2 linked regions of the Yarrowia lipolytica genome follow. The protein of the gene in region 1 binds, or shares a complex with, the protein of each later gene. Links are inferred from orthologs where the notes say so. Each region holds a gene or a part of one and is shown on either strand. Other genes may lie near its edges.

Region 1 (4,110 bases):
CTACAACTACCGTATGTACTCTGTAACACAAACAAATACCGCATTTGATGGACAGTATCCTGTTGTACTTGTGCTGGTTGATGAGTGGAAAACACCCAACTATTAGTTGATTATGAAATACAATTTAGTTAAAAAGTAGTTGAGATTAGGAGGCGTATCAAGAACTACTGGAGCTTGGGGTTGGTCAAAAATGTATTGTTTTGAGAGAGTTATAAAACGTCTACATAGTACTGATAATACTCTAGAGGATCCCTGGGGTTCGATTGTAGATGATCGGAAACCCATTAGCAACCACCACAGTTGGGGTCACCGCACTTGGGGCAGTGCTTCTTCTGGGTAGGAGTAGGAGCACAGGGCTTGGCATCGATGGCGATGGTACCGGTGATGGTGGTGTAGTGGGTGGTGATAATAGTGGTGGACTTGGGGCACTCCTTCTGGGGGCACTTCTTGGAGTGGATCTTATCCTTGAACTGGTGGATGTCCTCGGGGGATTCAGCCTGGTCGTTCATGGGGGCGGCGACGGCAAGAGCGGCCATGGAGAGGAGGGCGAGGTTCTTGATCTGCATTGTAGTGGGTGTGAAGAATACTTGTTTGATGGAGAGTAAAGAGGGTCTGGGGGTGGTTTATATAGGGCCTGGGAAAATTTGGACATTCCTTAGAGTCATAGCGACTGTCTTGTATCGATTAAAGCGATACGACCTGCTCACCTTGACGGCATAAAGTAGCTGCTTGAGATGAGATGAGTGCGGAGTTTGGATGTTGGAGAGTGTCAGATAGTGTATAGATTGGTTTGAAACAGTTTCAGGGTCACCCAAGCCCTTGTATTTGGGAGTGTGTATGTCTTCATCTGGTTATCTCGTTTCTCATCTTGAGTTCAATGGGGGCGGTCGAGTATCGCCCGTCCCACACGACACGAAGGAGGAAGAGTGTCGCAGAGTTGAGCAAATAGCTCTATACATTCAGATTCATCTGAGGTGAAAAATTATAGGTAATTCAGTAAGGTGCAAGATCTCTTAGCAATAGAGAAGTTGGTCTACTATGTACATGCTGCTGCTAATGTCCAACAAATACACCTATCTAGTGTTTGTCAGAAGGAATTGAAACTATTCGAATCAATTTATACAACTAATAGGACATCATATAGCTCTTCAGAAACTCCCTGACATTTTCCAAGTCTTTCTGAGACCTCTACTGGCTATACTATGGGTCGAATCAATATCAGTGTCGGCATAAAGTAGCATGTACTTGCCATTTCCGAATACTTATAGACATTGAACTACGGATCAGATTCCCGATGCTGCTAAGTATTCATTCAGATTGCTATTATAGACTGTGCGGCATATAGTAGACGTGGTATGGTGGGTATTGCAGCCTTGGTGAGACTGGACACACTGTAGGCAAGTATTAGTCATATAGAGTGAAACAGGATCAAGAGAAGTTGCAATATAGTGACAGGGGTAAGATATCCGTTGACATGATTGTTTACTAGAATCTTTTGTTCAACTGGTTTATTTCAACTATCTGTATGTCTCTCCGATATCTTTAACAAATATACACTTCTCTTTCAACTAACTGAACAACAATCATTGCTCAACTCTCTACGACACTCTTAAACACGCGGAGAATAACTGCAATTCACTCACAACCGTCTCCTTCTACCTCTCCATACTCAATAAAACAATATTAATTACCCTCTCACCGATAGTCACATCCAGGACACATTTTATCAACTCTGCCATTTCCCCCAATCGCAACATCATGCAGGGAGCTGCACCTAATTTACACCTTCAACCTTGGGTGAGCAACTCAATCACAACGTTCCCACAATCACCACCACCACCCCACAGCGGTCGATCATCAGCCCGAAAAAAAGACATGCTCCGAATATCACGTGACACCAAAATCGTCGCGCGTGTCACTCACGTGACTAAATCCCGTACCTACGCCACCTCGACTGCTCCCAAGCTGGTTGTCGGCCTCGAGATCCACACACAGCTGCTCACCAAACGAAAACTGTTTTCTTCCACCACAGTACCTTCGTTGTCAACCACGCCCAACACAAAAGTCAGCTACTTCGACGCAGCTCTTCCCGGAACACAGCCGCGATTGAATCCCCAGGCTCTGCTTCTGGCGCTCAAGGCGGCCATTGCTCTGAGATGTGATGTCAAGGAGCTCACTGCCTTCGACCGAAAGCATTACTTCTACCCGGACCAGCCCGCAGGCTACCAGATCACTCAACATCGAAAGCCGCTCGCCATCAACGGAAAGCTGAAGCTCAATTGGTGGGATCTGTACAGTCAGAATGAATGGCCTGCCCTACTCGCTAAGGAGGCCAACACTGACTCAGCAGACACACGCGATCTGGCATCTCGATCTATCGACGTTCCTATTCTTCAGATTCAGCTTGAGCAGGATACTGGAAAGTCCACTTACCACGGATCAGAGACCCTGGTGGATCTCAACCGAACTAACATGCCTCTTATCGAAATTGTCACAGCGCCCGTCATTCATACCGCCTCGCATGCCGCTGCCTTTGTCAAAAAGCTCCAGACCCTGCTAAAACGCATTGGTGTGTCCACTGGAGAATTTGAGTCAGGTGCCATGAGAGTGGATGTCAACGTGTCCATTGGAGAAGACGGAGAGCGGTGCGAGATCAAAAACCTGCCCAACACCTCTTCCATCGAAGCCGCCATTGAGGCCGAGTACAACCGACAAGTAGAACTGGTAGGCAAGGGAGGAACTGTGGAGAAGTCGACCATGGGTTTCGATGGCAAGAAGACATTCATTCTTCGATCCAAGGAGAACGCTGTCGATTACAGATACATGCCTGACCCCGAACTGCCGCTGATCCGACTCAGTAAGGGTACTTTGTTGAAGGTTAGAGACAGTCTCCCCGAGCTGCCTGACAAGGTCTTCTCTAGACTGACAGATGATCCCTACTACGTGACCACCAAGGACGCCCTTACGCTGATTCACGTGGCTGGCCTGTCTGACTACTACTTTGAGGTCTTTGAGCGAGTGAGCGAGGAGACTGAGGATGCCAAGGCTCTCAAGCAGCCTGTCAACTGGGTGGTTAACGAGCTTCTTGGACGAGTTCGAAAGGCCGATGAGGCTCGTGCTGCCGAGTCTGCCGAGTCTGGGGAGCCTGATCTCGGTGCTCATGACTACAACTCCATCTACCCTCCTGCAAAACTGGCTGAGCTCATTTTGGCCGTTCACAACCACCAGCTGACGCTTCCCTCGGCCCGCCTTCTGTTCCAGCACTTCCTGGCTAACCCCGAGGATCTCAAGAACATGACTATCGAACAAGCCATCACGGAATTCGAGCTTGGTGAGTCTGGAGATGTGGTGGATGCCTGCAGACAGGTAATCAACGAGCATGAGTCTGTTGTGAAGTCTGTTAAGGACGGCTCCAAGCCGGGTTCCATCAAGTTCCTGATTGGTATGGTCATGAAGGCTACTCAGGGCCGGATCAACCCCGCCGTAATCGAGCGTCAACTGAAAACTGAGATGCGACACATGTAGACTGTTTAGCTCATCTCCTGTGGGTGTACAATATCCCTGTAATTACGATAGAATAATAATAGATTTACTGAATTGAATCAGACAATGTGCACGTGTATGAGAAGACGGCTATAGATAGGTCGGCTCGATCTATAGAGCTCACTCAGCGAGAACGCCAGGGACTTGCTTAAGGGCCTCTTTGACAGACTGAACACCGACCTTATAGTCCGACAACTCGTTATAGACCTGACAAGAAAGTCGAATGTACAGCTTGCCGTTGTGGAAAACCGGAGGCACAAAAGTGTCAAAGTTCTCTAGAGGGTAGGTGTTGATCACTTGGAGCAGATGCTCCTTATCTTCAGCAGATGCCTCATTGAGCCACTTTTCGCTCACGGGCAGTCTGATGTTGACCATGGCGGTTGTGAGTGTTCCAGCGGCGTTTTCTAGGACTTCAGTTCCGAAGAAGTCGGCAGCAAAAGTTCCCACCTTCTTAGCCAGCTCGAAGCAGTAATTTCGGATCGCCTCTTCGCCGCCAATCTGTTCTCTAAACTTGACAGCAGCAGGAGTAGAGAGGTGAGTGGAGAAGTCAGTGGTACCAACAAAAGT
Region 2 (4,219 bases), on another chromosome or scaffold:
GGGGTTGGGGGTCTTGTCCTTGCCACCAGGGCCGTACAGATAGGTGGCCTGGGCGTCGGTGGGGGAGGTAGAGCCCTTCTTCAGCTCATCAAGAGACTGAGAAGAGGCAGACTTGGAAGGGATCTCGAGGGGAATAAAAGCCATGTTGAATTGGTGTGGAAGTGTGTTGAAGATAGTCAGCTGTTCGTAGCTTGAAGACTAGGGTGAGAGCGCGGGATGAAGGTGGTTAATGGTCAGAAACTTGGCAGGATCTTCTTTGGTATATATACGTTACGATGGCCCTTTTTTTATACTTTTTTGCGTGTCGAGCTGACAGTCTATGCACAAAGAATCAAACCCTAAAGTATAATGTAAATAAGGTGCAACCTACCGAACCTCGGCCAATAGGAGAGGGTAACTGGGACCACACTGGGCATAATTAATCCGGCAGCCTCTATTCAGCTGATACAGTGGCAAATTTGGTGGGATACAACACGAGTTCTGTGACGTGGAAAAGGAGAGTAGATTTTCCAAAGTTGCGCCAACAAAAGTGCTTTTTGCCCCTCCACTTTGCTCTTTGTTGAAACATAATTCCCCACACATTAAACTGCATGTGACTAATTGTACACCCCTGGTGCAGTGCCCAATGACTCAATCTTATCCTTTACCTCTTGGGGCCAAAAATGACGAGACACAAAGGGGTAATGTGCGGGTGAGAGGAGTGTAATTGGGCGGTAGAAAGGGACACATTGGCTGTGGGTGGCATTATCGCGCTCTGGCAATGCGTCTCATGTGTATCGCAGTTGGTTGTGGTGTCTCTTCATTATCGTGGTGAGTCATTCATCGCCTGTTATGGTCTTTAGTACCATCTGTCACGATTGTCTCACTCATATTACACATTTAGCACTCGAGTGAACGTCTCGATGTGTGGACCCTGAGGTTCCTTGTTTCCGCGTGTCTCTTGTGAGTTCCTCCACCTCTCGTAATGTACTCGTCTTCTGGACCCCCATTGGTCCACATCCGCATCTCCCTACATAATCTCTGACGTCATGCACGATATGGAGGCCGAGGTAGGGGGCCGAAAGCGCAGTACAACGTATGAGCTTCAAAATATGTTCCGAATATATGCCGGAACCAATGATTCAAATCTAGCGAGCTGGTACGAGATCCAGGGAAAGACCCACTTGCCACATCCAGAAACAAACGACATGTTACAACAAAAGATGCCGAAAAACCTCCGCTAGCTTCTACCCCTGCTGTCATACGTACTTAGCTACAAGTAGTGGTAGGTCAACGTGACTTGGACAGCACAGACGCAGGTTAGATGGATCCATTAACCTACTGTAGACACAAGTACTGTGCTGATTGACAGAAAGTTCGTCCTTGTGGTATAGTCTGTGGCGTTTGTGTGTCTCTCGACGTCCACACTCGGCCCTTGTTCGGTCGTTGAGCTGGACATGGGTTTGAATGGGTGTTGCGACGATTTTTAGGGGCTATAGGGTTGCTCTATACCAATGTGACGTAAACTGTTATCACCCAAATAGTCATTCATGTCTCTTGCTTCCGTCATTGAGTCCATTTCGATGTTCCATGGCTATAAGTCTTGGGGCACCGTGTATGTACTCGTACAGCACTTGTAGCTCCTGTTAGCGCAGTCTACCATAGTCTGTGTACCATCTTTAGGGTATTACAACAAATATACCCATAAATCCCTCTACGTGTTGTACGATCTTCACACCCTCTTACTCTCCAATCATGTCTTTCTGGATTGGCTTACTAATGTACGAATGTGCTTCGTCCATTGTATCGTAGCACACCACGAATTCAATAGATCCCACTCACAAGCAAATCAAGTGTCACTCAAGTATACTTCTGGGTTTGTCACTGATTCACGAGAGCGTCCAAATGCTCACCTAATCAAGTCCTAGCTTCTCAAAATTCACATCAAGTTTGAACTGGCCAAGACATACGTACTGTTGGAACAACGATACAAGCAATCTACTGCTGGGTAAATGATGAATAAGTACGTGCTAGATTTAACAGTTTCTTATTTAAACCCACCTCTTAGCCATCCAGTAAGCTACTTGTACTCCTAAGAACTACATCGCCCACCTACGAAGTCTCAAATAAACTCCGTTAGCACAAGCATGTCTGAACATCTGCATACAAGCAGCAAGTCAAATCAACAGTTTGAGCGACCTCACCATACCAGCCATGAGTGCACGACTGACCGTCCAAAAATGTATGGAAAACATCATCAAGAGTAATCCCTACAGCAATGCTCTGATCTCTACCGCCGAGAACCCCCAGGTGGCTCAATCGGGAGCCCTGGCAGGAATTGCACTGGCAGTCAAGGACAATATTTGCACCAACGAAATGCACACCACTTGTGCATCTGGCATTCTGGAAACGTTCACATCCCCCTTCGATGCCACCGTTGTCGACCTGCTGAAACAAGAGGGCGTTTCCATTGTTGGAAAGGCCAATCTCGACGAGTTTGGTATGGGCTCAGACAATGCAAACTCATGGTTTGGACCTGTCTTCAACCCCCTGTACCCCGATGAACCTCACACTCCCGGTGGTTCTTCCGGAGGCTCAGCTGCCGCTGTGGCTGCAGACATGTGCCATTTTGCTCTTGGAACAGACACCGGAGGAAGCGTGCGATACCCGGCCGCTCAGTGCTCCGTCATTGGCCTCAAGCCCTCGTACGGACTTATCTCGCGACACGGAGTCATTGCGTATGCCCAGTCTCTCGACACAGTTGGAATTCTCACCAAGGACATCGATCTGCTCGAAAAGGTGTTCAACATCCTCAACAAGTACGATCCCTTGGACCCCACCAGTCTCACACCCCATAAGAGAGCCAAGCTCAAGCCTCCCAAGCCCCACAGAAAGCTCACGTTTGGTCTCGTCAAGGAATACAACATTAAGGGCATCTCCGAGAATGTCAAAATGGCGTGGTCACAGATCATGGACGAGCTCATCAAGATGGGCCACGAAGTAGTCACATGTTCGATTCCTGCCATCAAAAACGCCCTTCCTGCCTACTACGCTATCGCACCAGCAGAGGCTTCATCGAACTTCGCACGATTCGACGGTATCAGATATGGATCTCGAGCTCCCGAGGACCGAGGGGAACATGGTACCCTGTACGCTCCTACTCGACAGGAGTACTTTGGAAACGAAGTCAAGCGGCGAATGTGGCTTGGAACATGGAACCTGTCGACAGACGCCTTCAACCACGACTATATTCGGTCGCAAAAGATTCGACGAATTCTACAGGAGGATTTCGACGAGGTCTTCAACCGACCCAACGTGCTTTCTGGTAACGAGGGTCAAAAGGCCAACGATGAGCCCGGTGTGGATTTCATCATTGCTCCCACTTCTAACTGTGCGCCTTACCCTCTTTCTAAGCTCAACGACTCTGCTCCCGTTGATACCTACCTCAACGATGTACTCACCGTCCCTGCTTCCCTGACCGGTATTCCTTCCCTCAACATTCCCTGGAAGACCAAGCAGGGCAACGTAGGCATGCAGATCATGGGACAGTACGGTGATGATTTGGGCGTTATGAAGGTCGGTCGACTGCTCCTGGACAAGTGCAAGGAGCTCCACCAGGATTAGTGGATGTATATATAGATTGACTACATGGTAATAGACTCAGAACTGACAACACGGGTGGTGGAGGTGCCTCAGTAAAAGCACGCACAGCGGTCATTACGTGATAAGTGACACAGTCATCGATAATTTAACAATTTCATACTGTAGTCATTAATTAATATAGGTCTATTTGTTTATTCGTGGAAAGCATTGACGATCTCGTCCAGCTGGGCAGTGATGGCGTTGATTATGACATTTCGGTCCCAGGATGCTCGGTGTGCCCATATAATGTCAATGATGGCGGCATAGACCTGCTCAAGCTCCTCGATAGTGAGCTCGCCAGTGTTACCAGCAAGGAAGTCAACCACATCCTGAGCCTTCTTGGTGTCTACAATGAGAGGAGGATCAGGAGTGGGAGGGGGAGAAGGAGAAGCTTCCACAGGAGGTGCAACCTGGACTTCAGCCTCCACGTTCTCTTCCTCAACGACAGTTCCATTGGCGTGTCCGTTGATGGCGGGCTCGGTTCCAATAGTTGCCGTCTCGGTCACCTCTGTGACAACAGGGTCGGGAACAGCACGCTCGACCACAGCAGGTTTAGCGACAACGGGTTCAGCCACTTCGACTTCCTCTGTCTTGTTGT

The links.
Region 2: the proteins of YALI1_E11370g (region 1) and YALI1_F30703g are in contact, whole or in part, in a crystal structure (PDB 4N0H), measured with the Saccharomyces cerevisiae proteins. The link is inferred for Yarrowia lipolytica from reciprocal best matches to the Saccharomyces cerevisiae genes PET112 and HER2. Residues at the interface, in NP_009473.2 of Saccharomyces cerevisiae: Tyr66, Ile69, Ala70, Leu71, Pro72, Gly73, Thr74, Gln75, Pro76, Val77, Arg105, His107, Phe109, Tyr110, Gly111, Pro114, Gln115, Gly116, Tyr117, Tyr123, Leu177, Asp297, Arg299, Tyr300, Met301, Pro302, Pro304, Glu305, Pro307; in NP_014021.1 of Saccharomyces cerevisiae: Val56, Leu69, Phe72, Pro75, Phe76, Arg176, Phe177, Gly178, Val179, Ile180, Gln184, Ser185, Met211, Lys212, Asp213, Pro214, Thr215, Ala291, Glu292, Ser295, Asn296, Ser298, Arg299, Tyr300, Arg304, Tyr305, Leu319, Phe320, Arg324, Asn339.

The regions. Positions count from the first base shown.
Region 1 is NC_090774.1:1,135,256-1,139,365, forward strand, and holds YALI1_E11370g (uncharacterized protein), read left to right. Parts: upstream 1-1,758; coding exon 1,759-3,525; downstream 3,526-4,110. Other genes in the region: YALI1_E11351g (uncharacterized protein), read right to left, coding at 293-566; YALI1_E11402g (uncharacterized protein), read right to left, coding at 3,664-4,110. UniProt on the Saccharomyces cerevisiae protein: Allows the formation of correctly charged Gln-tRNA(Gln) through the transamidation of misacylated Glu-tRNA(Gln) in the mitochondria. The reaction takes place in the presence of glutamine and ATP through an activated gamma-phospho-Glu-tRNA(Gln).
Region 2 is NC_090775.1:3,068,331-3,072,549, reverse strand, and holds YALI1_F30703g (uncharacterized protein), read left to right. Parts: upstream 1-2,193; coding exon 2,194-3,603; downstream 3,604-4,219. Other genes in the region: YALI1_F30647g (uncharacterized protein), read right to left, coding at 3,774-4,219.